4 linked regions of the Coturnix japonica genome follow. The protein of the gene in region 1 interacts with the protein of each later gene in a pairwise test. Links are inferred from orthologs where the notes say so. Each region holds a gene or a part of one and is shown in the gene's direction. Other genes may lie near its edges. The genes, in order: KLC4, NECAB2, YWHAE and KATNAL1.

Region 1 (7,446 bases):
ATGAACACAACTCCATCCTGCACAGCTTGCTGGAGACCATCAAGTGTCTGAAGAAGGATGAAGAAGCCAACCTTGTGCATGAGAAATCCAACCTGCTCCGCAAGTCAGTGGAGATGATCGAACTGGGTCTTGGAGAAGCACAGGTGAGGGTGACAAGTGCCATCCTATGTGGTACCTGGGACTGACAAGGGGAGGCAAGTATGTGGCTGTTACCAGTAAGCTGCAGGGGTTGCACTGGGCTGAGGGTGGTCCTCAATCATGCATGAGGGAGATTAAAAAGTTATTGTCAATACTGATTATGACTGGGACTCTTGACAAGGTGATGATGGCACTGTCCAACCATCTGAATGCAGTGGAATCAGAGAAGCAAAAACTGCGTGCTCAGGTTCGCCGACTGTGCCAGGAGAACCAGTGGCTGCGTGACGAGCTTGCCAACACCCAGCAGAAGCTTCAGCGCAGTGAACAAACTGTGGCTCAGCTGGAGGAGGAGAAGAAACACCTTGAGTTCATGAACCAGCTGAAGAAATATGATGAGGATGTTTCTCCTTCGGTAAGTCATTGTCTTGTCAAGCAGCAGCTTTTTTTTTTTTTTCTTTTCTTTTTGTGGGGGGTGTTGGACCAGGAGGATTGCCTGAATGCAACAGCCTTGTTCTGGATGTTAACCATTCCCAGCTACAGTGCACAGCAGTGCTTGTAACTGAAGGAAGTCTGCCCAGGGCAGAGTCTTTGGCAAAACATGGAAGAGGGTGCCAAGATATGGTGGGGGTAAACTTGGTTTTGTTTGGTGGGAGGAGGGTGGTAGCAGGGATGACCAAGGAGCTGAGGGTATTGGTAGCAGCTGAGTCAGTCCAAGCTGCTGTTGTCTTTTCTGAGAATGAACAGCATTGTGATTCCTATTCTCTCAGGAGGAGAAGGAAGGTGACTCCACCAAGGACTCCCTGGATGATCTGTTTCCAAATGAGGAGGAGGAACATGGTCCTGGATGTGAGTGCTTGCTCATGCTTAGTTACTGCCTGTATCTGTTCAAACCTGCTGTGCCAAATGTGCCCTGGTGTATTCTGTACCTGCAGTGCCCCACCAACATAGCAGTGCGGTAGCAGCTGCCCAGCAAGGAGGCTATGAGATTCCTGCACGCTTGCGCACCCTCCACAACCTTGTCATCCAATATGCTTCACAAGGACGCTACGAGGTGGCTGTGCCACTCTGCAAGCAGGCACTGGAGGACCTGGAAAAGACATCAGGCCACGATCACCCTGATGTGGCCACCATGCTCAACATCCTGGCACTAGTGTACAGGTGAGGATGGGGAGGGCAGGACTGGGTCAGAAAGGCTGTCTTCCTCTTCAGTTGATGAGGTTAATACATTCTGGTGACAAGGAATTCTCCCAGCTTCCAGCAGTCTGCCTTTCAAAAAAGGTTTTGGCACAGATTAAGTATTTGGGCCACCAAACTCCCCAGTAAAACTAACCTGAGGAAGGGGGAAAGAGCTGCTGGAGGCTGATCTTTGTGGAGGGAGGAGTGCTGCTTATAGTTCTGCATTCCACAGACTGTGGTGTCCAAACCCCAGGTAACAAATTGGCTTTGCACTGCAGGGATCAGAATAAATACAAGGAGGCAGCGCACCTCTTGAATGATGCCCTCTCCATCCGTGAGAAGACCCTGGGTAAAGATCACCCAGCAGTGAGTATCTGCCTTCTCTTTTAGTCACTTCTAGCCCCAGTGGCATGTACAGGTCAAGAGTGCAGTGCCCCTTTCCCTTGTGACTTGGCTGTAGACTGGCTTGGCTGGTGCTGGGCTGCCACAGATAGCAGTGTGCCCTGTGATGGCTGGGGTGCTGTTTATGTGGTATTATGGGGCACTGTGTTGCTATATCATTTTCTGCTGTCTTGATCAGTATGGCCAATCAGGAGATGGCATCTCCTGGATTCTGTTATGTGGGCAAGATAACTTTCTGCCTCTAGACCTCTTTGTCTCTAGAAGCATCTGTACTTGCAAGGGTGAAAGAATGGGACTGTTACTGCTGCTTGCTCCCTGGGTTGGTTACACTGAATTCACAGAGAAGTTTATGCCTATGCAGGTGGCTGCAACTTTGAACAATCTGGCTGTTCTCTATGGCAAGAGAGGAAAGTACAAAGAAGCAGAGCCACTTTGTAAGCGAGCCCTGGAGATCCGTGAGAAGGTACTGCTCTCTCATGCTCTCCTTCCTTCCAGCTCAACCTTATGGCTTGATCTCCCTACCTTACTGTACCTCAAAGATCTAGGACCCCCCCTAGTCTCTTCAGCTGCTGATTGTGCCACCACCTTTATCTCTCCAGTGTTTGTGGTGTTTAGAAAGGCCTGATGGGAGGTGGGAGCTAGAATTTCTCCGCTTAACCTTTGTAGTCCTTAGCTCCTGGCTGACAAAAGCATGCCCTCTGGGTTGGGCTGGGGCTGCTTGAACGTCCCCCAGATGTTCACTGCAATTTAAATATTGTTATTTTGTGATTTCTTTGTATCCAGGTCCTAGGCAAAGACCATCCTGATGTGGCCAAGCAACTGAACAATCTGGCCCTACTGTGCCAGAACCAAGGCAAATACGAGGAGGTGGAGTATTATTATTGCAGGGCCCTGGAGATCTATGAGAGCTGCCTGGGTCCTGATGATCCCAATGTAGCCAAGACCAAGAACAACCTGGTGAGCTGCTGGGAAGAGGCTATGTGGGGTTGGGCAGTAGTGCAGTAGTAGGCACTGGTGTCTGGAGGAAACAGGGAGGTAGCTGTGAGAAGTGGGGAGGGTTAATCTGTGTTGCCCAGTGGGATTGGAGCTGTTTTCTTGGTTGCAGGCCTCCTGTTACTTGAAGCAAGGCAAATACAAAGATGCAGAGGTGCTGTACAAGGATATCCTTACCCGTGCTCATGTGAAGGAGTTTGGCTCTGTGGATGGTTTGTACACAAGCTACTGGGGCAAGAGTGAACGGTTTGCTCTTCCACCACCCCTGTGGTAGAGGGATGGGGTACCTTGCAGAGCCCTTGTTTTTGGGCAGGCCTCAAAACACTGTCATTCCAGTTTGTTACGCTGCTCCACTTCTCTCAGAAGGAGTCTTAGTGAGCTGTGGCTTTCAGTCTGCTAGGTTGGCAAGCAGTTGTGGCTTAAAGGGGGAGAAGAGCATAGTGCCTCTAAGGTGTGAATTGAAGTTTCTCCTGTAGTTCTGGCACAGGGAGGGGAAGAACTCACTCCCTCTTTCCTATGCTCTGCCCTTGCAATGTCAGTTGCCTTTGGGGCCCTAGCCAGTGACTGGAAGCCCTGTGATGAGCTGCTGGTTTTGGAGATGGTGCTGGGCTGTACAGACAGCAGATCAGTAGTGGAAGTGGCAGAGTAACAAAGTTAAAGTGGTGAGTAGAACTGTCTCTCATTTTTCCTCACGCAGATGAACACAAACCAATCTGGATGCATGCAGAGGAGAGAGAGGAGATGAGCAAGGTGAGTGAGAGCTCGGGGTGCAGCCTGTTGACAGTAGCAAGAGCCCCAGAAGGGGAAAGAGATTCTGGGATTTTGATCCCCTTGTATCACAACTAGTTTCTCCTTTCTGCAGTCTGAAGAGCTGCTGTGACCACTGATAAAGGGTAGGAATGGTGTATGGAATGGGAGAAGTGAGATCATTCCTTGGGGCAATGAGGAATGGAGGCCCATCAGAGGACCTGATATTTTCCTTGAAGTGGGGAGTTATTCAGTACCTCAGCCTCTCTTTGCTTTAGTGAAACCTTTAAGGCAAGCGGACAATGGAAGGGTGGTGGATGGCGGAGTTATGCTGCAGGGTTTTGGTGCTTGTTCCAAAGAGCTGCCAGTACCCAGAGTGTGTCTTGAGGCTGCCTGGGGAAGAAATGGGTAGAGAAGAGATACTGTTGTCACCTTGCTTAGCAAGTAGGACCAAACCTTATGGAAAAGAGCTCCAGACAGGTTTCTAGCTGTTCAGTGTCTTAGCTGGCTTCTGAATGAGAGTGGAATGGAGTTGTTCTTGCCTTGGATTTGGCTGAGAGACATGGAAGCTGTTGCTCCTGTTTCCTGAGCTCTGCTTTCTGCTGCATCTGACAAATGCAGTGGAGTTCAGTCTGATTTTTGCCAGGAGGACAGAAAAATATGCTGGCTGTGGCACTGCTTTGCAAGAGAAATTGGGTGGAGTAGGGCCCAGGCTCCCCTTCTTACTCTGGGATTGAGATGCTTCTTTCTGATGATGACTTCAGAGAAGTGCAAGAGCATGGGCAGACTGTTGCAGTGTGGAGCTATGCTCCACTTAACACAGGCTTTGCAGCAGGGGTGAGAGAACAGAATGCCTTCAGGAAATGGTCTAAATCTGCTGTCCAGACCAGGCCCCTTGAAACTCTACTGTTTGTGTCCCCTTTTCTCCCAGGCCTATAGGATCTGCAGCTGGAAATGTAATTAATTTTGCAGCCTGGGCAAGAGCTGAGCTGCATTTCCTGCCCCTGAGATGGCTGTCTCTAGGCAGCTGCCCAGGCCCTGTGGCATAATACATCTGCTGAGGTGTTGGTGACCACAGCCCTTGAGTCTAGGTTCTTTCTCCACTGACAGACATTCAACAACCTTCCCCTTGGGTTTGGTCACCTTGGTTTTGAGTGCTGAGTGCTGGGCTCACCCAGGCTCTGATGCAAAGAAAGCCAAGTGTGCCTATGGCTTGGGAAAGTACCTGCATATGGGATAATGATTCAGGAAGTTCTGTTGGGCTTTGTAAGGAAAATGGTCCCTGCAAGGGCAGTTTCTTCCAGGCTGGGGCGATTGCCAGAGGGAATGCACAGCTGTGGAGCTGCTGGCACAGGCAGGACCAGTTTCATGGTGCAGAAGCTATGGGATTTGTGGGTTTTGGTATCCCTTTGCATACTGGCATTGGGAGTGCCACGTACTTCAACCACTGCTTTTTGTCTTCGTTGTCCTTGCTACGTTTGGTACCACAGAAAGGCCAAGGAGATGGGAATGTGCACTCTACTGGGGGGAGGGCATCATGTTGTCTTGTGTCTCAAATGATTTGCAGCAAAAAGGGCTTCAGCCTTTCTTTCCAGGAACCTGCTGGGACTTCACTGTGGTATTCACGTTTTGTGTTTCCAGGGGCTGGGCTGGTGTGAGGGTACAGCCTTAGGCCTGACCCTGGTGCCCAGTGTGAGCACAGGCCAGGGAATGGCACTAGGCATGGGGCTAACAGCTGCCTTTTCACCCAATAGAGCAAGCACAGAGACAGTGCTCCCTATGCTGAGTATGGTGGCTGGTACAAGGCCTGCAAGGTTAGCAGGTAAGAGAGGTTTGTGGGCAGCTCTAGGCAGTGGGTGAGGTGTCCCCAGGGCTCCCACTCACCTGCTGCTTGTTGCCACAGCCCAACTGTGAACACCACTCTGAGGAACCTGGGTGCGCTGTACCGGCGCCAGGGCAAGCTTGAGGCCGCGGAGACCTTGGAGGAGTGTGCGGTTCGCTCTCGGCGGCAGGTAACCCCAGAGGGACCTTCACTGGTGGGTGGGGGGATGCTGTGGGACTCAGGGTAGCAGGTTGTGACATTACTATGTGTGCTGAGGGATTGTGCTGTGCCTTGCAGCCTCCCGTCTGTGGTTTGCATTCCCATAACACCGGAGCAGCTCAGTGGTTGGTCTTCCGTTTGTGCAGGGGGATATGCATGTGTTTGCATATGTGGGATTGCACTGGTGTGTGCATATGTAGATGGAACACCTGTTGGGGTGTAGAAATCCTACAGCTATGGCAGGCTACTGAGCTTTGTCAGCTGAGAGGAGTCTGCGCTTGGTGGGGTGCATTCTTCCTACTAATGTGTCCAGGAATTTCAGCTCCTTCACTAGGAAATCCCTTGTGTATATACCCAGCATGAAGAGTGAAGGACAGCAAAAACCCTCACACATCAAAATGTGAAAGGGGGGAGAGGAGGGGAAGCTGTCAGCGTTTTGGGGCAGCAAGCTCTTGTCACTCAGGGTGGCTTATAGCTTGTAAGGCATTCCCTGAATAAAGGCTACTGAATTCAGGATGCTCTTCTTGTTTGGAAGAGTTTTGTCTGTGCTGGGACAATGACCAAGAGAGGGAGAAGGACCAGGCAGATAATAGCATTGAAGAGCCAAGACTGGTGCTTCCTTATTCCTTTCTACTTGCAGGGCATCGACCCAATCAACCAGACGAAGGTGGTGGAGATCCTGAAGGAGGGTGATGGCACAGAGAGACGTCGGAGCCTGGGTGGCAGCGTCAAGTACGAGAATGCCACAGACGGTAGCGAGGAAGTGAGTATGGGCGTGGAATGGAGTGGGGTAAGTACAAGACACCATCAAGAATGGCCTCAGCTGGCTGCTGGAGGGATGGGACAGCCTGGCTCAGGGCTGTCCCTGCGTGGCCTGTCGTGGCATCCTTGTCTGCCTCCATTTGTTCCCTGCACACTTCCTTCTCCTCTTTCTTGGCATGAGCCAGTCAGCCCACAAAGGTGTGTGTCTGGGCCTGGCTTGTCATGTACAGGCCAGACACTCTGAAAAGTTCTCACTTCCAGAGGGCTTCCAGTTCCTGGCAGTGCACAGCATGAGCTGTCCTGGCCTGCTCTTAATCTTAGCCTTGGCGACCTTATTAACACCTCTCCTTGCTGCCTCTCCTCTTAAGGCTGTGGCTGACTGTCAGCCCCATCTTAGGCCCCCATAGCCTCTAAGCAACTTGCCTTTCTGTCCTGCAGCGCGCCACAGGTGATGCTGGGTCTGGGGAGGTGTGTGTGTGTATGTGTGTGTGTGTTTGGTGGGGCTGTGCCTGTGTCTGCAGTATAAGGAAATAGTCCATAGCTGACACCTTTACTGTCCTCTTATGGTCTCGTGCCCCTCTGTGGGCTCTGGCCAAGTAGAGGTTGGAAAAGGCAGGTTTTCTTGGGGTGCCTAGCTGGGCTGATCGGCGGTGGCAAAAGAGGATGCTGTTAGCTGAGGCTTGTACAAGGTGACCCTGAGCCTACTGTGCTTGCCCTGAGACTGGAGGGCACTGTGGTCACCAGTACTGAGTTTGCAGGAAGGTAGTGGTCTAGGTCTGGGGCAGGTGGTTTCTGCAAGGAGGAGGATGGAAAAGAGGCAACAAGTGAGCAAGGTGCTGGTGGATGCTTGGCTTGAGGGCTGCTGGAGCTGTTGATGCTTACCATTCCTCCTGCAGTCTCTGGCTGAGAGTATAGTGTAGCTGGCACCAAGGGCTGTTTGCAGCCTGGCATAAATGATGCACTGAGCATGAATCCTCTACTCCCCCTTACATCTGCTGTCACTAACCCTTCCCCACGTGGCCATCCTCACCTGCATGATCTGTTCCCCTTCTTTCTTCCTCTTCCCTGTTGCCATGACAGTCCCTCAACATCCAAACCTAAAGCCTGGCTCTCTTGATTGTGGATTGTACCCTGGATGTGGCTGGAGTGGGCCTGGGGAACTGAGCTTTGAAGGGGCCCAGCAGCTC
Region 2 (7,446 bases), on another chromosome or scaffold:
ATTCCCTCGGGGTCTGTGAGCAGGATGCTCTCCTTCAGCTTCCACTCAGCGCAGGAGGCCAGCACATCAGCTGCTCTCATCCTCTCCAACACCCATCTCCAAAGCCAGGAGGTTCAGAGCCCAGTTATGCCTCCTCATGCCTTGCAATTAACATCTAGGAATAATCTAAAAGGAAACAAAGCATCCATTCAGCCTCCCAGAAAGCATTTCCAAAATGAATTTCCAAACAGATTCCACCAGTAATCCTAGCAGAAGGGGGTATGTCACTTCTGCAGGAACTGATTTTTCCCCAGCTTTCCTGCTTGGGCTCCAGAGCAGAAAACAATTCTCCATGCAATGCCATCCAGAGCTCTCTCCTTGACAGACTGCAGGGCCACATGCTACATCCAGCCAGGCTGCTAAGCTCAGCAGGGAGATGCAGCTTAAGAAGGGCTCTCCTGGAGCTATTTTTAAACTAACATGTTTATTCGCTGCTCCTCTGTCTCTGTCACTGCAAAATTCATGCTCCCCTTCCCCCTGCAAGAGAGAAGAGCATCTTTGCAGATCCTGCTGACCGTGCCCTTGTAGACTCCCTGTAGGGTAGGGTCTTCCCTCAGAACATTTGGAGATGACACCAGTCTGAGTGTCACCAACTCAACACCATAGAAGGAAGAGATGCCATTCAGAAGGAACTGTACCAGCTCATGAGAACCTGATGAGTTCAACAAGGTGTTGCACTTGGGTCAGGGCAATCCCAGATATGAGTACAGAGTGGGAGAAGAACCCTGCTGAGAAGAATGTGGGCATCCTGGTCAATGAAAAGCTAGATATGAGGCAGCAGCATGCATTTAGAGCCCAGAAGGCCAACAGCATCCAGGGCTGCATCAACAGAGGTGTGGCAGCTGGAGTTCTGTGTCCAGGTCTGGGACCTCCAGTACATGAGGGACAGAGCTGTTGGAGTGGAGGAGGATGTGGAAATGGTCAGAGGTCTGGAGCCTCTCTCCTATGAAGAAAAGTTGAGAGAGATGGGCTTTTCAAGATAAGTCCCTGGGCAGACCTCATTGTGATCTTCCAGTACTTGAAGGGAGCTTATAAGCAGGAAGAAAACCCACATTTTACTTGGGTGCATAGTGACAGGACAAGGGGAAATGACTTTAAATTAAAATAGGGGAAATTTAGATTAGGTTTTAGTAAAAAATTCTTTGCTCAGAGGGCAGTAAGGCCATGGCACAGCTGCCAGGGGCTCTCCCTGGAGAGCGCTAAGGGCCAGGCTGGATAGAGCCCTGGACAGACTGCGCTGGGGGGGCACCCAGCTCACAGGGTTTGAAGTAGAAGATCTTTAAGATCACCTTCAAAATGAAGCCATTCTGTGGTTCTGTGATTCCCATTCTCTCCCACCTGAAGGCTATTGATTGTGAGGTCAGAGAGGTAAGATGTGTAGTCAGAGGGCAACTGCATGGACAAGGTGTAAAAAAGCCGTTCTATGGCATCCTGTGGATCAGGATGTGTATGCTATATATGGGAAGCACCTCTCTTAACAAGGAGAAAGACGTTCTGCAGTGAACTGCTCAGGAAGGGCACTGCAGGAGGTGACAGGACTTGGGTCAAGAGGAGTGACACTGAGCTGCCCTCATCAGGTCCTGCCTTACCCTGGGAACAGCCCCCTGCCCCCAGCCCTGGCCTCAAAACACAGCTGAAGAGGGGAACCTGTGCAGTCTGAAAGAGGTTTTCAACAGAACAGTGTGATGGGATTTATAAGGGAGGAATTTATTATCGTTATGTTTTTAAATGCATGCAGTGCCATTGTTTTTTTTTTTTAATCTGAACAGTTGTCTAATTTGTTTCCTCCGCCCCCCCCACCCCCCATTTCAGGTAGGCTGAGAGTCTTTCATATGATAATGTTCTCATTTATCAAATATTTCAGTGTCTGTTCTCCTCAGATTTCTACTACTGATTATGTGCCAGGCAATCAGTTCTTGGCCTCTGCTTCTGGTGGGAGTTAAGAGCATAGAGCAGGGAAGGAGCAAGAGGAAGGTCTGGGTGTTATTCTAATTACAAGAAAAAAATCTCTTGGTAGAAAGCAGGCAATTAGGAGTGAGGAATTAGAATCGCTGTTCTGAGGCAGCATTGCTCTACATGGCTGATTTGTGAAGTGTTGGGTGGTGGGAGATAAACCTGATGTAATCCAGGGGGAGGCTCAGTAGAGGAGCTTCATGGCCATGCCAATAGGTTTTCCTGTTGCTTTGGATTTTTTTAGTGTTTTTGGGTTTTTTTTTAAGAAACAATTGAAGGAACATAATTGGCTTTGGTTTTGCTCGAGCAGCCTCATCAGTTCAGAGCCTTGGCTCTATTGATGTGCTTCATCTGGGGTCAGTGTTCTTAACAACTGGAGAAGGTGCCAGGTCCCTGAGCTCAGCAAATGGCACCCAGTTTGGCCGTTGTCACCCAAAGGCAGTGCTGGGAATGCTGGGGCTCAGTGCTGAGGCTCTACAAGGCAAAGAGATGCAGTGGGGCTCTCGGTGCCCATGAGCGTCATTTATTGTGTCATTTTCACATCCTGGAGTCTTAACAAGATGAATGGTGACCTTTAGAAATGTCAGCAGAGAGGCTTTAAGATGCTCAACAACATCGACAATCTCCTTTTTCAGCCATTTGATACCCACAGGAAAACAGTTACAGAAGCCCTATTCTGGGGACCAGTTTGCAACACCCAGCGAGGGAAGTTTGTCTCCAGTGTCAGCAGGTCCAAGAGCTCAAAACACCAAAATTACATCCTGGGTTTCCACAGGCAGAGGGTGGCACAGTGCTTTATTTTATCTGTGCCAGGATTTCAAGCTGCAGAGAAAATGTGATAAGTCTCAGGAGAGACTGAAACCCAGCACAGCATAATGTGGGGTTCAGCATCTCCTGTCGGACTTCTGCCTCTGCATTTCATTCCTCTGATACAAACATGGATCTGCTGCTAATTAGCGCCATCAGACCAGGCTTGTTAGCACAATACTGTGCAGCAGGGCAGCATCTCTGGTGCCAAAGCCTTTCTAGCGTTGAACTAATGAACCAGTTGGATGAAAAAGAGAAGCCTTCTGAGATACACCCCTCCAGGGTCTCATGTCACAAAGCGGCAATTATTTTATTATCCCCATAAATATTTTAACTTCCCAGGCAAAAGAAGAAGGAAATATCTCTTTGGGTAGAATTAATAAGACCAAACCTCATTACATCTCCCTAGAACAGGCTCACAAATGTTTTAATAAGACCACGGGAAGGATTCCTCTGGAGTTGGCTGTCTTAATGACTTATTTTTGCAGTGCCAAAGGGGACATTTGCTCCAGCAGAGCTGGAGGGATTGCCAGGGAGCTCAGAGCACATTGCTGAGTGCAGATGTCACAGTTGGGATGGCAGATGTCCACAGTTATTCATTAAATGAGAAGAAAAGAGAAAAAATCATTGATTTTCATTTCAGAGCTATTGACCCACATGGGACTCCTGTGGTGGCCTCAAAAGCACAGAGGCATTAGTGGTTTTTGGGAGGAAAGAAGGATGGCTTTGGGAAACAACTTGGATTCACCCTTGTGGCCATGAGCGAGCGCTCCCTGGGATGTCAGCTCTGCCTTTTGAGCCACTTGGCCCATTCCCTGTACCCAGAGCTCTATAGTACCCAGAGCTCTATAGCTGCTCAGGTTTTGAAAAGCACAGTTCAAGAAAATCATCCTGAAATCACTTCTAACACACTGGGATTTTAACAGCTCTGCAATCAGCTGTTCACATCAGCAGCAAGCAGCTGCTTTTTAAGCTCCTCCATTTCTAACCCAATGGCTTACTGGTACCCACACAGACAGTGCTTCCAGTTCTTCCTGTGGAGACAGCAACATCACAGGGCTGTGGGTTTTCATTGACCACCATATCAAACCAGTGCCTACAGGAGAGGGCAGAGACAAGCTTCTCAGGATGAACACTGCTACAGTTCACCTGTGGAAACACCACAGTGAGATTTGTGGCTCATTAAGAACTGAGCATTACTTTTCTACTTCTTCATGAGGTCATCCGGTGTCCCAGGGCAAAGAACACTAACACCAAATGCATGTATAGTCCACACCTTCTTAAAACCTTTTGTTTCCCAAAAGGAGCAGGTTCACGTGCCTGACTTGATGAGAAATTGTGCGGTGGTGCTGGTAGGATGCAGGCAATGGAGTCCTGGTGGGCAGCAGGAAATTGGGGCAAATTGCAGCACGGCTCCTGGTTTGTTTTATCAATTTGTTTCCAGACTCATAACAGAGACTGTGCACAGCTCAGCCTTTGTTTTCAGCTGGGGAAAACTGCAGAGGGGCTCATCATTGCTCCAGTGATGCCCCAGCACCTGCAATCAGAGCAGGGCTGGTTGCTCAGGCTTAATCAAAACTCATCTGTAATTATAGCCAAGCCTGCTCAAGTGCCTGATTAACGTATTTATGCCTTGGTTTTGCACAGGCTCCCATGTGCAAGGCCCTAGGGAGGAATCAGCAGTGAGGGGGAATTGCTGAAGAAATGGATTCAGATCCCAAATGCAATTATATGTTTTTTGCCAAGGAGATTTGTCAGTTTAATAACCCTCCTTAGCACGAGTGTGAATACTGGGAGAAATTCAGAAATTCAGGAATATTTGGGAATACATCTATCCTTTTCCCCACCCGAATGCTCAGCAATTGTTCCCACACAACGTCCTTGCAGACTGGGGCATCCCACTGAAAACCATTTATTTCACCCCATTGAAGCCCTCTTTGGGAACACCTGCTCCTTTTCACAGCAGTCTCTATCACACAGAAGATAGATAGATGGATGGATGGATAGATAGATAGATAGATAGATAGATAGATAGATAGATAGATAGATAGATAGATAGATAGATAGATATAGATAAAAGGTGTAATTTGCTCAGTTCAAACCAGTGGGGATAAATCTCTTTGAAAGCCTGTTTGGGGCTGAACAAGGTGAGATGGAGCTCTGTTTGGAGCAGGGCTGAAGTGAGGGTAGTTTTGTTTACCTGACTTGTGTTAATTTATCAGTGATTATCACCAGACCCAGCTGAGCAGTATCACTGTGCTGTCCCTGCCTGGCAGGTGTATGAGAGTGGCAGCAACGTGGACCAGTTTGTCACCCGCTTCCTGCTGAAGGAGACGGCCAACCAGACCCAGTCGCTGCTGAGCTCGGTGGAGAGCGCCGTGGATGCCATTGATGAGCAGACCAACCCCTCCAGGTCGGCCATTTCTCCTTCCCTCCCCACTCCATCCCTGCTTCACAGCTGGTCTCATTATGATGCGCTTTTACAGGGCTCCTGGGGATGATGGACAAAGAGGAACTGGTGGAGCAGCTGCCTTTGCCAGCTTCCCCAGGAGCTCTCAGGGCTTTCCTCTGAGCAGAGCCCCCCTTGGGATTTAGTGTCTGTGTCTGGGATGTGCTGGGACAGTCCATGATGTCTCCATCCCATTCCCACTCTTTCCCCTGTCACATCACTGTTTCATCCCCATCCCTGTCCCCCATCCTCAGGAGATCGAGCCTAGGGGAGGTGGAGGAGATTGCTTCAAGATTCATCTTAGCCAGAGCTGAAATAGCAAGGAGTACCTGCAGCACTCCCCAAATAGCCCCATTTGAGGGTAGTTTGGGATGCTGACCAAGTGGCTCTGCCATATGCAAACTGAGAGGGCCGTGGGTGCCATGGAGTCCCCGGACTGTACTGGGAGGAGTGCCCCGGGTGTCTGTTGGCTTCATTTCCCCATTGTGGAAGGCTGAGCAAGCTGTGGTGTAGGGCAGGTGGGAACAGCACAGCCTGGTTTGGGAGTGCTGAGGAGGAAGTAAGAATCAGTGAGAGCTGCTGGAAGTCCTCACTGTCTGTTGTTTGCTGGTGTGTGGACCTGGCTCATCATGAAGCCATTGGAGCTGTGAGCTGTTTTCATGGTGAAAATCGCTAAGGAAAAAAAAAAACACCAAAAAAACAAAAAAAAAACAAAAAAAACCCACCACCCTGATCTCTTGCATCAGAGGTGGCCTAAAAAGCGGGGAACCAGAGGGCTGTGAGATATCTGCCCAGCAGTGCCCAGCACATCTCCCTGATCCCTTGCAGGCAGTGCCCTGGCCCAGCTGGTCTTGCTCTGACAGAGCCGTGGTACAACAGCCCTGTGCCCAGCTACGCACCCCCTGCCCGGATTGTGCCTCAGGGCCACGGGAAGAGCAGCCAGAGTGGTGAGTGGACATGGCTTCTGCTGCTCCAGCAGCCCGCTGCTCCCAGCTGCTGGGTGGGTGGATGCCCACAGGCACTGTTTGCTCTGTGTTCCTGCAGGTGCCCCTGAGCCCAGGCAGGACGGGCTGGAGGGGCAGATCGGGAGGTTGGCTGCACTCATCAGCAGGCTGGAGGACAAGGTAGGGACTGTGCATGGCTGCCATCGCTCCAGCCATCTCCACCATTGGTGAGAGTGCCATGGGCTTTGCTTAAACTGCATGTTCCTATGGATGAAGGAGTTGAAGCCTCTCACAGGGGTGACCTCGTTCCATCCAGGGACAGGCAGAGGGAATGCTGAGGTACTGGAGGTGTTTCTGAAACCCAAATGTTTTCAGGGCAGAAGGGTGTGGGACAGTGATTTTCCTTGGAAGAAGCATTGTTGGCAGTTTGGGGCCATTCTAAGGCAGGTGGGGTGATGTGAAGCCGTGTGCCAGGTCCCTATACCTCACCAAGGTCCCCATTGTGCCACGTGTCCCCAGATACTAACTCACACCTGGTGCTTCCCATGGATACAGGCCAGGCTCCTCCAGGCTTCCAGTGCATCTGGGGCAGGGGGTGACTCCATTCCACTACCTCCTGATGGGGCACTGTTGCCCCCAAACTACTGCAATGCTCCTACTGCACCAGGGCTCTCTCAGTGGCTGTCCCCTCACAGTGGACACCCAGAGGGACACAGTGCCCCATCCTTCCTTTTCCCTTTGCAGACTCTCTGGTTTGACCTGCACCAGCGGCTGTCAGACAGTGAGAGCACAGCCTGCATGGTGAGCATGTGGCTGTGCTGCCATCACCACCCCATGGTGTCCCCACAGGGTGTCCCTGGGGGGGATACTGCACACACTGGGTCACACATCCTGCTCTGTCTCCCCCCCAGTACCTCCTGCTGGTGCGGGATGAGATGACGGTGTCACACAAGCACCTGGGCGAGTTCTGCAGCTCCCTGAAGCAGTACCTAAAGAGCGTAGCCGGGATGCGGGAGTGCTTCCAGTGGGTACTGGGGGGGGCACCTGGAGATGGGGTCAGCAGGAGGATGGAGTGCTGGGAACTGGGGGCACCCTCAGTGGCTGCAAGGACAACAGCCTGGGGTGCCCCCATGGTGGGGGCTGTGGGGACTGGGGACGCCCCCAACAGCTCACCCTCACCCCACCACTGCCAGCGTCACTGCGGTCAAGCTGCCTGACGGAGTCACCTTCATCGTCTATGAGTTCTGGGAGACC
Region 3 (8,024 bases), on another chromosome or scaffold:
CCACGCAACTGTTTTCTACTATTTGGTTCTAAGCTGAAATGTGTGTTTTTTTTCCCGTAGATGATAGAAATTAATGTTTGCATTTCTGCAAAATAGACATTTCAACTTACCGAGCTCTTTTAAAGGCAAATAGGTAGAACATACGTTCATGATCATGTAGATTAAACCCTCTGTGGCCTTTGTTTATCCTCTTCTGTTTGTTCCCTCCCTTCTTCCCAATGCGTGCAAAGAATCATTGCGAAGAACGTTGGTCACAATCCTTTGTCTCTGACTGTGGTTTTGCTCTGTTGTGCATAGGCAGGTGTTAGAACTAGAATAATCATTTCTAGAAACACACCTTGAAAGCAGGATGCTCAGTTACACTGTGTTCTTCTGGTGCATTTACACATTATATCACACTAAAAGTACAACTGGCTGCTATGTTTTTTTAATATAGATTTCATTTTGGTAAACCCCAGCCTTTTTACTAATATTTGACCTGGTTTAAATCTTGTTAATCTTGTTTGAATTGTATTTGTTAATAATGCAAATATTTCTAATCATCTTAAGAATAAAACACTTTGGTTTTGTTAATGGTTTTGGGGAAGGATTCTAACCAAACCAGTTTGAAGAAGAATATGAACATGTGCCATTGTATTATAACACTATCCACTTTCTTGACAGTTAAAAGTCTTTTTTTTTTTTTTTTTAATTATTTTTTGTAGCATGTAATGTATATGTTCATAGTATGTGAAGTAAATAAAAGTATAGCCAAAACTTTGGCTTGGTGTCATTCTCAATCGGCTGTTATTGTAATACTTGTGTTTAAGAATACATTAACAGAAGTGTTGTTAAGTCCCATTCTTTAACTGAGCACGTTTATGTTAAAACAATTAAACCCAACACCTGCAGAAGGAAGATGAGATGACTAAAAGGAGTTATCAACCAGAAAAGGTTGATGGTGTGAAAGGTGAATGGCTGTAACTAACTGAGTTCCTTAAGTCCAGGGGGAGAGGGAGAACTATTCTCATTGCAGGAGGAGGACTCAGGAAGAAAGTAAAAATGAGACTTGTTAGTTATTAGTCTCAATTCTAACTGTAGGGATGCATTAGAAAATAGTTTGGGGGTTCTTGAGATGACTTAAATGAAAATACTCCTAAACATTTGGCCTTCTGGGGGTGCTCTTTAGCTCACAAGGCCCTCACTGCATAGAATAGGCCATATTTTATACTTTATAGTATATATATATTTTAAATATATACTATATATATTTTAATAACGCTTTACTACACTGTATGTTGGTTCTGGGAGTAGGCAGGGAGGAGTCTTGATGTCAGTAATCCTTTCTTGCTGGTATGTTCAACAATGGCATTTGTTTCACTACATTACAATTAAAGCATTCAGTATTTTAGTTACTTGGTATTCAGTTGGCAGGTTACTACACATAACTTTCCTCATCAGTACTGTTTAGTGGAGTCCTCGAGTGGGACTTTGCACTTAACTATACTGAGATGCCAGTTTTCCTGTCCACACAATAAGCCCATCAGCCTCATATAATAAATTTCCACAGGGAGAAGCACTGCCCTCAGCTTTACTCCTTGCTCACCTACCTCACTATTGGTATTTGCAAGTCTCCATGGCTTTGTCATGAAGGATTTATGCAGAGTTCTATTGCTTCTTCTTGCAGTGGTGACTTTCTGTTGCAGTAGCAGCCCAATCAATGTGTGTAAATGTTGTGTGTGCAAAGGACAAGGCAAGGATTGCATCAGGAAATTGAGGATCAAGTAAAGTCCCTACGTTGAGGCAAATCGAATTGATCATGTACAGTCCCACACAAAACTAAGTCTTAGCTGCTGAGAAAATAGGCTTTTTTAGTTAAGATTTATGAAGGGCGGAGGTGATTGTAAGTTGCGCAGTGTTACACAAATACACTGACCGTAATCCGCTGGGATTCTATATAATTCTATAAAAATCATAGTAATATTTTAGGTACATCCATAAGCAAACCATCCAATTGTCAGTTTTACACAACCTTAAGTCTTCGTTAACTTGAAATAATGCAATGAAATGAATCAGGTGACAATAAACCGATGGTTAAACCTGTGCCTCTGATCAGTGGGCACAACATAGAACACAAATGGATACTCAGCTCTGTCCAAGAGGTGCCGGGGATGCTCTGTCTCTGCTGCGTATCAGAAGCTGCAATGGCCTCTGTGGGCTCTCACACCTCAGGAAGGCCAAGAGCCTTCAGCCCATCCAAGGAGACACTGGAAAAAGAGATACGAGCCTGTTCATAGCGGATACGAGCTCATACCCACCCTGAACAAACCTCACGTTTATCTTAGCCAAACAGAATCACTTTTCTTTTGCTTTTTCTTTGATTTGGGAAACGGGGGGGTGTTATCATAACGCTTTCAATGCCTGCTCGGTGGATTTCAGGCCTCTGTGAGGAATTGATGCCACATTCCTCTCACGTTCCAGTTCCATCCCCTCAGTGATCAGTCAGTGATGGCAGCCACAGCGCTCCCCCATCACACAGCCTGCCTTTCTACAGGCATTCCTATACCCGGGACGAATACAACAGGGAAAGGCCGCTGTACTTTGAATACACCAGATCTGAGAGGAAGGAGAAAAGCGCAGCCAGACTGAGGGAAAACCCGGCCACTCCGATCCTCCCCGCACCCCCACCCGGCTCTTTAACACACTAGCAGGGCTCCCTACCAGCACCCCCAACCCCAACCGGCTCCGCACCGCGGCCCTCGGCCTCCACATCGCGGCGGATCCGCATCCTCACGGCCGCCGCTCAACAGCAAAATGGCGGCCGGTCCCAACCCCGGCCCGGCCACATCCCGCCCGTTACTAAGGAGCCGCCGTTGCTATGGGATGCCGTAGGGCGCATGCGCGCGGTTGTGGAAGTGCCCGGATGCAGCGGGAGGAGGTGCTGCCGCCATATTTGCCCGGAGAGCAGCGAGCTGGTAGCTGCTGAGCCCCACAGACCCATCGGCTTCCATCCGCCCCGTACGCTCCCCGACGCCGCTCCGCCTGCAGGACATGGACGATCGGGAGGATCTCGTCTATCAGGCTAAGTTGGCCGAACAGGCTGAACGTTACGATGGTGAGCGGCGGCCGGGAAGGCCGTGAGAGGCCAAGGGGAGAGAGAGGGAGGGAGCGGCCACAAAATGGCGGCTGGGCGGGGGTGGGGGGGGCAGGGGCGGAGGAGGGGGGCGCCGACAAAATGGCGCCGGGGAGCGCCCCGAGGGCCGCGGAACCGGGGATGGGGGGCCCTGAATGAGCGGGCGGCCTCGGCCTGGGCGTGGCCCGCTACGGGGGGCGGTGGCGGCAGAAGCCGGGAAGAAAATGGCGGCCGCGAAGGGCGAGTCCTGGGGGGGGGAAGGGGGGAGCCGCCCCCGCCTCGGGGGTCCGACAAAGAGACCCCACTGCTTAGCGCCGTGCGGGCGGCTGTGGCGGTGCCGGGCGGCTCCTTAGTGCTGCGTTTCCCTCCGGCCGCGGCCCCGCGGAGCTCGGCGCTGTGGGGCTGAGCTCGGTTCGCCGCAGACAACGCCCCGCTCTCCGGAAGGTTCGTGCCGGCCCCTCGGGGGGGGCGATGCCGGAGGGACCCGAGGGAGCGGGATGGCGCTTCTCTTTCTCTCCCTTCGCTTTCCATTGGAGGCACGGCTCTCATTCACCCTGCAGCCGTCTGGCACTGCCCGTCATTACCTGAAGGAAGAACACATGCTTTCATTACACGCTGGAAATCATTACAGACCATTTTACGTTCCCACTTTGTCTCTTTTTTCCTCCCCCCCCCCTTCCCTCATTTGCCTTATGAAATTAGAGCTCTGATCCCTTTATATCTTGGGGAAAAAAAAGGGGCGGTGGGGAGGAGCTGGCAGCCCTGGATGGTATTTCTTGCCCCCAAAATGTCTGCCGTGTGACTGTTCCCTTCAAGGTGCTTTTCTTGCCTATAGAAGAAAGGGCCTTTAATTTTCTCAATGGGGTTGTTATTTCTGCCCTTAGATCTGTATTTCAAGTGGAAGAAAAGCCGGTGTGTGTGTAAAGGGTGGGAGTACAGTTAGGTTTCATTTAGAAGTGGGGAGATGCTTTGGGTCCTTTAATTGATCAGGGTTTTCACAGAGCAGGGAAGTCAGCTGGTGAGAATTAGGCTTTGTTCTCTGAGTTACTGCTTAGAAAACTTCTGATAATGGGATTCCAAAGCTGAGAAATACACCTTTTGGGGGAGGAAAACAGAAATGAAGGAGTAATTAAGACCATCTGCAGTGAATGTTCTGGTAGAAATGGGGTAGGAATAAGAATCGTACTGAGTGACAGCAGCCAGATAGTCTCCTTGTTGTAACTGCAGGGACTTGGGGGAAAAAACGTCCCCCAAAGCAGGTTTTGTGGGGTGACTTGTGCCCACCCCTTCAAGTAAGATGCAGCTCATAGTAGGAGAGCAACATCTGTGGGTACAAGTGGTTGAGGAGGGGGGTGTAGATTTGGGGTATCTTGGTTTTTTTGTCTCCTTAGGAGTGTGGGATGGGAAGGTGCATTGTTCTCATTGCTGCCATCTTCCACAAAGACCACAAATCCAGCAGTATTGGGGTGTGTGTGGGGGAGGGTTTGTTCACCTGGTACAGATGAGCCTCAGCGCAGGGGTGAGCTGTGGTTTGAATGGAACTCCAGGCTAAGGATGTTTGGGGGATACATCATCCTTTTGAGGTATAACTGATGCTTTCCTAGCTGAATGGGAAGTCACTTCTTTGGAAAGCAATCAGACCTTCCCTTATTGTAGAAATCTGCAGCACAGCCTGATTTCCTTATCAAAAAAGGTTGATAGAGATAGAAATGCCACACAAAGGCAGTCAGTGGGCTTCCAATCCCAATGCTCCAGTGGGTGTTTGAAGAATGAATTGCCTAGGTCAGAATTCAGAGGGCTTCTGTGTGGCTTCTGAGTGTTAATAAGAACACCCTCACTGAGGAGGTAATGATAATCATAGTGTTCTTATCTTTAAAGCAATATTGTGGGATTCAGACTTGCAGAATTTGTTGGCATGGAGTTGAATCAACAAATTTAAGGTGCATCCCTTAACTCTCCATGTTGTTCTATAGCTTTCCGCCTTTTTTTCTGTCCCTGGCCTGGAAAAATAAATACTGTAGGTACAGGTTTAGCATCTAATTCTGTATCGTTCAGTTGGAAGCAATTAAAAAGTGAAGAGTATATTCTCATTTACATGAAAGTAAGTGCTGAGGCTGCTCAATGTGAATGAAATGCTGTGGGGAAGTGAAGTGATGCTTAGTTTCATTCTTTAGTTTTACCTTTGAGATACATGATGGTGAGGTAATAGTGAATAACTTCCAGATACTACTGATGGTAAGTACTGGCTACAAATGTGCTGGAATAGAAACCTGTTCTGTGACTTGAATATGAATGTAAAATGACAATTTTTGATGTTTAATGTTAGGATAGCGTTACGTTCTGCCACATCTTTCTCAGTGAGGCTCAGCGTGCTGTGTGGTTAGAACAGCCATGGTCCATGGCATTTGAGGCAGCTTCTAAGGTAGGAATCTAATAAGTTTTTTGGGTTTTTTTTAGTTACATGACCCACTTAAGTTCTGAAGCCTTGCAGGCTGTGCCTGCCAGTTGTTGGGAATGTAGTTCTGTCTCTGTACAGCCCTTGGTGTATCGGCCCAGATTAAGAGGACAACTTTCTTAGGTGCCTCTGCAGTGTAAATAATGCTTAAAGCTGTGATCCCTAGAGATAGTAAGAGATTTGGGTGTCTGTCTTTACGGATCTACCCAGGCGTGTCATGACAGATCACAAAATGCCGGGCAGCCTACTTGTATTAGAGAAAGCTTTGTGACAAATCGTACTTGAGGAAAAAAAAAATCACATTTACCTGCACTTGATAGAACCACAGAATGGCCTGGGTTGAAAAGGACCACAATGATCATCTGGTTTCAACCCCCCCTGCTATGTACAGGGTCGCCACTGCCCAGAGCCACATCCAGCCTGGCCTTGAATGCCTGCAGGGATGGGGCATCCACAGCCTCCTCGGGCAACCTGTTCCAGTGCGTCACCACCCTGAGTGAAAACCCTTTGAGTTCCTTCAAAGATGGTTCCCAATTGCGTAATATATATAAAATGTCTTTTCTGGGAAACAACTGGAGTTGATAAAATTGCGTTGGTTTATGAAATCACTAACTCTTTACTTTCTCACATCAAAAGATTGTATGTATCTGCGTTCTCATGGACTGCTGAATGTCAAAACTAACTCTCTGTTGCAGAAGCTAGGTAGCACCTTTCTTCTCATCAGTAGAGAAGCATGCTAGGATAGAAGGTAAGCTCCGAGTGAATCCTGTGGGTGCTTCAGTCCTGCCAACAGATTTGTGCCACAGATCTTGAAATACATCATTTGAAGTTTACCCAGGGTGTAGCAGGTGAGGATAATAGCTCTGTTTACAGCTGGGAAGAAGATAATTGACAGCTCTCCTGATTCCCAGTACAGCAAGTCAACATGTAACTCCTGTGTTGCTATTAACTCATTGCCAGAGAAGCAAACCTTCCCTCTGAAGGCAACAAGGTGTGCACTGAATCCAAAATCTGAACATATTGTAGAATGAGTTGGCTCACAGTAGCAGGACTTGCAATTACAGCTTGCTGAAGAATCAAATTCTCACTTATGAGATAGATGAATGATTAAGTTGCTCATAATTTTCAGTTTGCAGTGGTCCTCTTTCAAGTAAATAATATAAATGCATCTGAGGGGTGTAATTCCCCTCTGCCCAGCAGAGCTGTGTGAGGACCTTTGATAATTTGCCTCTTGAAACGTCTGAGATACCAGAAGTGTTGAGCATCCAACCTTAGATGGCTCAGTGCCCTGCAGGAAGCCCACGTACTGGGTTAGTGTCCATTAACTTACTCAAGTTCTTGTATTAGGAGACTCTTAAGTAGCAGATCTCAGTCAAACTGAAATGTATGATGAGACTCAGTCCTTGTTTGCCTCTGCTTTCAATCTGACTCTTCTGTTAGTAGGAGTCCTCTGTCTTTTAGGAAGATACATCTTCCTAACTTGAAGATATAGAAATGACTTAGAAATCGTGTTGGTAGGTTGATTGTGCAGAAAATGCAACTGTTAGTTGAATTATTTGGTCTCGATCATCTATTTCTTCAAGAGCATTAATATGGGATTATGCTCTGTAGAACTGTGTAGTTCAGTCATACAATCAAACATTAGAACTGTCTGGGGTGCACCAACATTTAAGACCTTGGTTTCTTTTGGCTTGGATTCGGGGCTGATCATTGCAGTGAATAGGATGGTGCCTGCTGGTATCACATGGATCAGAGGGCTGCACGTCTGGAGAGAATGGAATCTATGGGCTGTAGTTCTCATGGTTACACATCACTTAATAGAGAAAACGTGTGCCATTATTTCTCCTGCTCTCTTTGGTCTTTATTGCTCTTAGCAATTTGCTGTGACTACTAAATTAGTATTGAATACTCTTTTATTCTGTATCGCTTACAAATGCTAACATGCTTCCTAGCACTGATCACCGTGTGGTTCCACTGGTGACCTTACTCTGCTTTGAACACTGAGCCTACATTCGTACCCCATTAGCTCTCTTTCATCCAGGTCTCCATTCAAGAGAGGATCTGATCTGTACCTGATAGCAGTAGAAATCCTTAAAGATCCTCCGATGAGGTGCCTTGGCAAATGCCGAGTGGTTTTTGTTGTCACTTCTATAAATCACTGACCTAGACTTCCATTTTCAGTCTGATGATAAAGCTGTCAGGTCGGTTCTGGTGTTGGTTGATATGCAGTGATTCTCCTTCCTAATCTGCTGTTAAATGTTGGTTTCTGTTTTGGAAAAGCTTTGTAATTCTTCTACAAAACGTGTAGTGTGTTGGCTGCTGCTCTTCCTTACAGAGGGATGCTCCAGATCCTGGATTGTTCAGTCTTTGGGAGATTGAGGAACAGAAAATACCTTGAGTGTCTTTTTTTCCCCCTGATAAAGAGGCATTCATTCTTTTGTTCTTTTGTTCTCTGTT
Region 4 (8,148 bases), on another chromosome or scaffold:
CTGCTTTCCCTTGAACTGCTCTTTATAAACAGTCCATGGCATTTGAGATGTACCTTGTGTGAAAGACGTTGACTGCATCCTTCTATGTTGCTATTCCATCACAAACTCTGTCTGGAGGTTCAGGCTCTGATGGAGCTTCCTAGAAAAGAAATGAGTAGATGTGTCAACGTGATAAATTTCACCCAATAAAAATATCTAGGCAGGAGAAGAATTACTATGTGTGTATGGAAATTAACAGTGTGTATCTACTGCTGCCTTCACTAAGTCGTGCATAACTTCCCCCAGAAGGTTAATGGCCATGAATATGTAACATCCTCCTTCTTTTCTCAATTGCTTCCCTATTGTTTTTTACCTTCTATTATTACAGCATTTCTCAATGTAACCCACAAGACCTTTGGTAAAGAGTTATGTTTGCACGTGAGCATTAAACATTATTACAAAGGCATAATAATTCCAGTAGTCAAGTTAAATATAATTGCAAGGGGAAGAGAAGACAAAAGCAAATGGCAGTTCACAATTCATAGGTATCTCACTCCACACTCTCAGTCTTTTCCTGTAGCGTGTGGGAGAAGATTACCAATGAAGTTCCCTGATACTCTGTGCTAAGAGCCTCTACCAGCGACCTAAGTTAGACACAGTCTATGGAATTTATGTAACAACAACCAAATCAACTTAGAAACCAGTTTTGTTAATCTGATACAGACCCTAACTGTGAATAGCTTTAAACTTACCTGACAGCACCTGCAATTATTCTACCTTAAGAGACACTTCTGAACCAAATCAAACATTCACAGCAAAAGAGCTCCATTAATTTCTACCTGCTTCTGACTGAACTGACTAGAATAAATCAGAGAGAGAGGGCATGCAATCAGCTCAGCTGGCAGATTTGCAGATCACTGCAAAGGGGCATGATAAGTCTCTGGGGTTCAGCTGTGAGTAATGCCCTTCTCCACCACTACAGCTGGAGCCTGTCTAACCACAGCCAGTGACAACCGCCAGCATCATCTCTCATCCCAAGCTGCCTTTATCAAGACAGTAAGAAGATGTAAGACCTGAGAATACACCAACTATAGAAGAAATTTCAGTGTAGTGTCACCCTCACACAAAAACTCGCTTCACTCTCCTTGCCTGAGATCAGCAGGCGTTGTCAGACAGCAGTTGGTGAAATTAAATACATGCGTGAGTCCCAGCTGTTTTAATACAATGTCCAAAAAATTAGCTCAAACTGTGGATAAAGATCAGTTTAATGCCGTATTTGATATTAAAATGTATTAGAAACATTAGTGCTTTCCATTCCAGCAACTGTTGTGGAGGCAAGAATCTTCAGTCAAGAGGCAGAACAGACGGTCAGGGAAGCAATATTTCTTAGATCACCCCAGCCAGAAAAGCTGGAGTTTTCTGATCACAGCAGCAATAAAAGCAATGAAATATCACACTCGTGGCTACCATTCTTTTACGTTATTAGCAAATTTATGAATTCCCAATGGCTGTCAGCCCTTCTTCTTTTTGCCATTTCTTATATCAAAGACCATGCAGACAAACTCTACTGTGAGAAAGAGGCTGGACAAGATGCCCTTCCAAGCTCCTTTCAGCCTGAATTGTCCTATAATCCTTACGTACATTTAATGTCCAGGGCTAGGATTTGTGCAGACACTTCCCAAAACAGACCTTCCCTTTGAGAGGTCCAACAAGAGTGGCAAGGAATTGCTACTGTGCTCAGCAACTACTCCTATAAGGGAGACAAGAGGGAGCAAGGATACCCTACACCACTAGGAAGCAGAACAACTTGCCTCAACTACTGAAAACACTGAAGGAAAAACACACACAATACAGATGTTATGACTAACTAACCAACTTCCCTCTGTCACAGTTTCCCAGATGAGCCTCAGACAAAGCAGTTTAATGTGCTGTCTAATGTGATACGAGGTACAATAAGTCTTCTGAGAATGGATTATGGTGGCATAGGGCTGTGTAATGTCTGCTTTCCCAGGGAAGCATTTAGGGTCTCCAAAGTCCGCACAGCATCTATGCCTTTGGGTATGTGAAAGAACAGCAGGGATTGATGTAATGGACAGGAAAGTTTGAAGAAATCTGGGGAAAGGGAAAGCCAGAGCTGCAGCTGTTATGAATTCATCACAGTTTTGGCTCCAGTTCTAAAACACTCAGAAAGGCCTATGAATCTCCACACGATTTTCAGGGAGGATATGTACATCTATGAGTGACACATCAACACATGCTGCATTGTTTAAGTGGTGCTCTGAGCATCCAGCTTCAATCCCTGCTCTTCCACTTGCATCAGATAGCATTTCTGAAAACCTTAGAGCAACATACAACCTCACACTGCTACCTTAAGATCGCAATTTACATTTTCCAGACAGATCACATTGCCATTGGGAGCCATCACCAGGCTGTTATTAGCAGGATGCTCTCAGCACTGTCACACAGGAGCTGTGGCAGCAGGGAGTGACTGCAGCAGTGCAGTGTGGTCTCAGTGGGCTCCTGCCTCCACCTCTATCCTGGTGCTTGCTGCAGCTCTGCTGGATCACCTCGTTCAGGAACAGGCCCAGCTGAAAGCCAGCTATTTTCTACAGGGGCATAACTGGCTGTCAGCTGGATCAGACCGCAGGCGTGTCATGCCAGATGGCAACACCAGGGTTATTGCTTTGTAAATAAATAGGAAAACCCACGCAGGATCAGAGGAGAAGGCAGGACTGCCCTTCTGGTGGCAATACGGGCACAGGACTGCCCTTCTGGTGGCACTATCGTACGCCTTGGTGCTTGGGCACAGGACTGCCCTTCTGGTGGCACTATGGGCACAGGACTGCCCTTCTGGTGGCAATACGGGCACAGGACTGCCCTTCTGGTGGCAATACAGACACAGGACTGCCCTTCTGGTGGCACTATGGACACAGGGACTGCCCTGTCTGGTGGCAATACGGCACAGGACTGCCCTTCTGGTGGCAATACGGGCACAGGACTGCCCTTCTGGTGGCAATACGAGCACAGGACTGCCTTCTGGTGGCAATACGGGCACAGGACATGCCCTTCTGGTGGCAAACGGGCAAGCGAGACTGCCCTTCTGTGGCAATACAGACACAGGACTGCCCTTCTGGTGGCAATACAGACACAGGACTGCCCTTCTGGTGGCAATACGGGCACAGGACTGCCCTTCTGGAACTACATCCTCAGAGAGGTGCGTACCTCAGCAGATGATGCCCTGTAAGGCCATCCGCTGCCATCAGGCGCTGCTTTAGCCCAAGGAACAGGAAAATCCCTAGATCTCGTACATAGAAGTGACACAACCCCATAGCAAAGGCCACATCCCGTGTGCCTGCCCAGGACAGCGGTGCATTTCCCTTCTCCAAACCGCTCCCCCAGCTGCCATGGAAGCAGCCGAGCTCCTCATTCCGATCTAAGCGCGATCCCTGCAGGCACACACACAGGACACACCCGCCACCCCCCGCAGGCGCACAGGGCTTCTCCTTTGTTTCCAGCCGGCCGGAAAGCCGCGCCCCTTCTCGCTGCGAGCCCGCGGGCTGTTAGCGGCACATCCCGGCCGCCTATCGCCTGTAGCACTGCCGAGCTCACCCCAGCCCCGGGCCGCCCCTTACAGGAGGCAGCGAACCGCCGGCCCTGAGGGGAGGCCGCGCCCGTGGGCGGGCTCAGCTTCATCCCCGCCCCCCCCCGCCGCCATGGCAACCGCTCGTCGCCGCCACGCGCGCGCGCCCCTCTCTCCTCCCCCCCGCCCCCCTTCACCCATCGCTCGACCCCCGTCCCGATCCCCGCACCCCCCCCCCCCCCCCGCCCCCCTTCACCCATCGCTCGACCCCCGTCCCGATCCCCGCACCCCCCTCCCTCGCTCCGCTCGAGAGCGGAAGAACCGCGGCCCCTTCCCCGCTCCGCCGGCACCGGGACACGCACCCCGCTCCTCCCAGGTAATGGCGGGGCCGCGGGGCGCTGCGGCCCAACAACATCCGGCCCGGCGGCGCTGCCCGTGCCGCTGCGCTGGGGGCGGCCGTGGGCCGGGGGTGGGGGCGGCCTGCCGCATGGCACGACGGGAAGTGTAGTCCCGCGGTACCCACCGCCCGCTGGCGCTGAGCGGAGGAGCGGCGGGTGGAGACTACAACACCCAGCGCTCCCCTGGGGGACTGCGGGGGGATCGGCCCTCGCACGGGAGAGCTCTGCAGGCCCAGCTCCATCAGTGTGAGGGGATGGAGGCCGAGCCAGGGGAGGTGAAGAGCGGAGCCGACAGCGGGAGGGAGCGTGACCCATGGGGCTGGAGGAGGCTGTGGGGGAGGCGGGGGGCTGATCCTGTTCGATCATTAATACAGCTGAAGGTTTGAGTTATCGTAGAGGTGTTTGAGTTGGAAGGGGCCTTTAAACGGCACCTCATCCAACCCCCCTGCAGTGAGCGGGGACACATACAGCTCCATCAGGTTTCAAAGCCCCATCCAACCCCCCTGCAGTGAGCAGGGACACATACAGCTCCATCAGGTTTCAGAGCCTCATCCAGTCTGACCTTGAGTGTCTCCAGGGTTGGAGCATCCACCACCTCTCTGGGCAACCTGTGCCAGTACTTCACTTCTTTTACTATAGAAAACGTTTTCCTTATGTCCAGTATAAATTTCTCCTCTCATAGATTGAAACTGTTTTCCCTTGTCCTATTGCAGCAGACCCTTATTATAAAGTCCTAAAGAGCAAATTCTTTGAATTTCAAAGGGGAATTTGAAAGAAAGGAAAGCATCCAGCTTAAATTCAGACCCTATGAGTCAGGGTTATAAACACGTGTGAGTCCATTAAGCCTGCAATTATTCATGGAAAGTTTATCTGGCTTGCAGATCAGCTTCGCTAGGAATGTAGCAACAGCAGAACTGAATCTCTGTGTAGCTGGCTTTGTTCTGACAGCGCTTGTGAGTTGCAGTGGTGTGGGAGCATGAATGTGCGGTATTCAGGGCCAGGTGCAGGAGCAGTTTAACTTTACTGACTCAGAGCCTGACCTGATGAACACTTTGAACCCAAGCTGGTTCTGCACAGACCCATCTTGGGAGTCTTTGGTGACGTGCTTGCTCCGCCAGAAGAGTTTATGCGTGTGATGTGGAGAGAGATGGAAGAGTTACTGATCTGGGCTGTGTTCTGCAAGCCCTGCAGAGGCCTTGAAGCATCTGAGCCCTGCATCCTGCTGAAGGAGGGGATCCACCACCTCTAGGCTGGTACCACGTGGGTGCTTAAACCTGCTGTGTGGCACTAATGCTAGAAGTGCAGGAGACCATGTTGTAGAGAAGAGATGCTGAAGCCAACTTGAGTCCAGCAGACAGCAAAGATGCTAATACTACAACCTAAAGCACACGTGCATGAAATTATGCTCCCTCGAGTGCCCAATAGCATTTGTATTCACTGCTCTGATTTCAGTGATTCCTATTAACCTGAGGTGAATATCTTCACTTCGTTTGAAGATGTTTTTTCTTTCCACTTGCATTTTAAGTTAGCTCTTAGAAGAATCCACACCAGTTGTTTGAGGCCTTTATGCGTGTCTCATCTTACCAGTTCCATTCACGTTTTCCCATTATCTCCACATCTAATGTTTCAAAAGGGGGGTTCAGTGCAAAGAAGCCCAACGCCACTTAACAGAAGGCAGATAACCAAAGTACTGAAACTGAGCCACAGTTCATACTTATTGATACATATGCATACATATGAATAAGTATGATATAAGTATATATACACAGTTCATACTTGTATATATTTTAGCAGTAGTAGTTATGCAGTGAGGTAATGGTTGTTAGTGCCCATCCACATTTGTGGGGCTGTTTTCTTTCCTCCCTGACAACATTCCAGGTAGCGTTTCAGTTCATGCTTCTACTGTTGTCGTGTTGTTGCATGTCTCTGTTTTGACCTCGAAGGGAAAAATGGAAAGTAGGATCTTTAGTTTTTATCAGGTGAAAACAACTGGGGGAGAAGAGGATGTTTGAAAGTGGTCCCTCACATTGGTTTTCTGTCTGCACAACATCAGCGCTGTGTGGTTGTTCTGCAGATAATGAGAACCAGAATTAGTAACTAGTCTTCGTCTGTGGATGCCCAGGCCTTGCCAGATGTTCCGCTGCCCAGTCAGCACAACTGCACAGCTGCTATGACGTGAGACCATCTGTCCAGAAATCTCAGGGAGCTGTGGAAAATTTTTGGACTGCTCGGGTCAGCTTCTGGTCAGAAAAAGATGCAAGTCGAGGTTAAAACATAAGAATCATAGAATCAGAACTTGTGTAATACAGCCCTATCTGTGGGGAAATAACAGTGATTAGGAGAGAAGACTGACTAGCAGGCAGTAAGCAAGGCTTGATGTGACTACTGAAACTGTGAGAATAAAGAAGAAACGAGGAACATTACACATGCACAATTTAATGTATGTCGTTCAGTGCAGGCGTCAAATGCCTGTGGAGAAAATGGGACACAGTTGTGTAATCGATTGTCTCAAAATACATTGGCATGAACGAGAAACAGAAAGATTGCAAAGATGCTTTTTGTGTTGGCGTTTGCAAATCTGAGTGTGTAGTAACAAGCAAGAGGAAAAAATCCTGCTGCAGACCCTGCCTGAAGTGAGGACACTGATTGCTCCTGGCAGCACCCAGTGAATGTGGATGCAGATATGGGCTTGCATGCACACCTCAGCTGGAGACAGGGTGCTGAAGGAGCAGTGCTGCACTCCCCTTCCTGCCCATCGTCCTCACTGGTGTATCTCTGAGTGTGTCATGTTTTAATACTTAAAAAAAGCCCATCTTTTGGATCTTGCTCAATTGTGCGTTGCATTGGTTCTGGGAGAAAAATTCTTCCCTGACCCCAGCTAGGGATCACCTCAGCTTATGCTCCGAAGAATGGAGACTAATATCCCCTGTGACCTTTTAGCCGTGCTGCTGCAGAGTTTTAACAAGTGGGCTTAAGACCCTGTGTGTGGCAGCTCTACTGACGGAACGTCTGTAATGTCTCTTCTTGTCAATGATCCGTGAACTGAGGAATCTCAGAGGGTACCTTGATGTACAGTGGAGCTGTTATGGTCTGGTGCAGGAGAGAACCATACAGTGCTAGGATGGGAAGTTGGTGTCATGAGGAATGTGTAAGTTGTCCTAAATGTACTTGACAACAGTTGTCCCTTGCTATGCATTTACTTAAAGGTATGCGGTTGTAGCACAGCAAGAAAAACAAATATTTTAAAATTACACAAAATTATTTATGCACTTTCTGGCTTCTTTGATGGCGTACAATGTATGAACTCCATTATTTGATGCAGAACAGATAATAAAAAACCATGTACAGAATATGGAAAAACCCTCCACCTAGTTCTAGCTGCCTCTTCTCACTGGTGTGAGTAAACAATTGAGGGAAGAAGGCCTTCCCCAGGTTTGAACCATGGGAGTTTGAACACACTCCTGTTTGGATGTTGTGTTGAGGAGTATGATTTAGCTGGGAAGTATTGGTAATGGTTGGACTAGATGATCTTCTAGGTCTTTTCCAACCTTGATAATTCTGTGATTCTGTGAACTAGTCAGTCCTTGCAGTAGGGCCTCAGAGCCTGGTAGGCCAGTAGGGCTCCCAGTAGGGCCTGGTCATAAGGGGAACTCGCTCTTACTTAGGACTGAGGTCAACAGATGCTGTTTCCAACACATCTCATGTAAGTGGATGATGTTGCGGTTACCTTCTCATGTCAGTATTACCTGATTAGGTGATAAGTAAAATTGAAATACCCAAATGCAGGAGATTCTGCTAGTCAGACTAGCTCTGGAGACATCAATAGGCATTTCCCTATTGATATGATGCTGTAGGAGCACGTGTACATGCAGTGATTTCTCTGTGTGCTCCAAGATACATAGAATCACTAAGGTTGGAAAAGACCACTAAGATCACCAAGTCCAACTATCAGCCTATCCTCACCATGCCCACTAACATACTTTCAAGTCTATACTTTAATATTGCTCTCTCAAACGTTTACTGGGAGAAGCTGTGTATGGGTTTGCCTTCAACTTGTGCCATGATTTGTTGCTTATGTATGAAAAAGTTAGTAAAAGTATTAATCCTAAATTGTTTGAGGGACTAGGGGAAGGTTGTACGTTCGTGTCATTTTAAGAAGTCTTAAGTATGGATTGCTAACTCTGCTGTAAA

The links.
Region 2: the proteins of KLC4 (region 1) and NECAB2 interact in binary tests that used the Homo sapiens proteins (3 or more experiments, as listed by UniProt). The two-hybrid records come from large-scale screens. The link is inferred for Coturnix japonica from reciprocal best matches to the Homo sapiens genes KLC4 and NECAB2.
Region 3: the proteins of KLC4 (region 1) and YWHAE interact in binary tests that used the Homo sapiens proteins (3 or more experiments, as listed by UniProt). The link is inferred for Coturnix japonica from reciprocal best matches to the Homo sapiens genes KLC4 and YWHAE.
Region 4: the proteins of KLC4 (region 1) and KATNAL1 interact in binary tests that used the Homo sapiens proteins (3 or more experiments, as listed by UniProt). The two-hybrid records come from large-scale screens. The link is inferred for Coturnix japonica from reciprocal best matches to the Homo sapiens genes KLC4 and KATNAL1.

Annotation. Positions count from the first base shown.
Region 1 is NC_029518.1:3,526,385-3,533,830, reverse strand, and holds part of KLC4 (kinesin light chain 4), read left to right. Parts: coding exon 1-143; intron 144-319; coding exon 320-550; intron 551-905; coding exon 906-984; intron 985-1,070; coding exon 1,071-1,296; intron 1,297-1,592; coding exon 1,593-1,680; intron 1,681-2,077; coding exon 2,078-2,179; intron 2,180-2,499; coding exon 2,500-2,673; intron 2,674-2,821; coding exon 2,822-2,921; intron 2,922-3,406; coding exon 3,407-3,459; intron 3,460-5,210; coding exon 5,211-5,278; intron 5,279-5,359; coding exon 5,360-5,468; intron 5,469-6,137; coding exon 6,138-6,287; intron 6,288-7,446.
Region 2 is NC_029526.1:162,588-170,033, forward strand, and holds part of NECAB2 (N-terminal EF-hand calcium-binding protein 2), read left to right. Parts: intron 1-5,075; coding exon 5,076-5,212; intron 5,213-6,076; coding exon 6,077-6,195; intron 6,196-6,292; coding exon 6,293-6,372; intron 6,373-6,936; coding exon 6,937-6,993; intron 6,994-7,103; coding exon 7,104-7,216; intron 7,217-7,385; coding exon 7,386-7,446. UniProt on the Homo sapiens protein: May act as a signaling scaffold protein that senses intracellular calcium.
Region 3 is NC_029534.1:3,988,141-3,996,164, forward strand, and holds the start of YWHAE (14-3-3 protein epsilon), read left to right. Parts: upstream 1-2,893; 5' UTR 2,894-3,030; coding exon 3,031-3,094; intron 3,095-8,024. UniProt on the Homo sapiens protein: Adapter protein implicated in the regulation of a large spectrum of both general and specialized signaling pathways. Binds to a large number of partners, usually by recognition of a phosphoserine or phosphothreonine motif.
Region 4 is NC_029516.1:156,738,259-156,746,406, forward strand, and holds the start of KATNAL1 (katanin p60 ATPase-containing subunit A-like 1), read left to right. Parts: upstream 1-3,802; 5' UTR 3,803-3,935; exon of another isoform or gene 3,936-4,032; intron 4,033-4,123; exon of another isoform or gene 4,124-4,232; intron 4,233-8,148. UniProt on the Homo sapiens protein: Regulates microtubule dynamics in Sertoli cells, a process that is essential for spermiogenesis and male fertility. Severs microtubules in an ATP-dependent manner, promoting rapid reorganization of cellular microtubule arrays.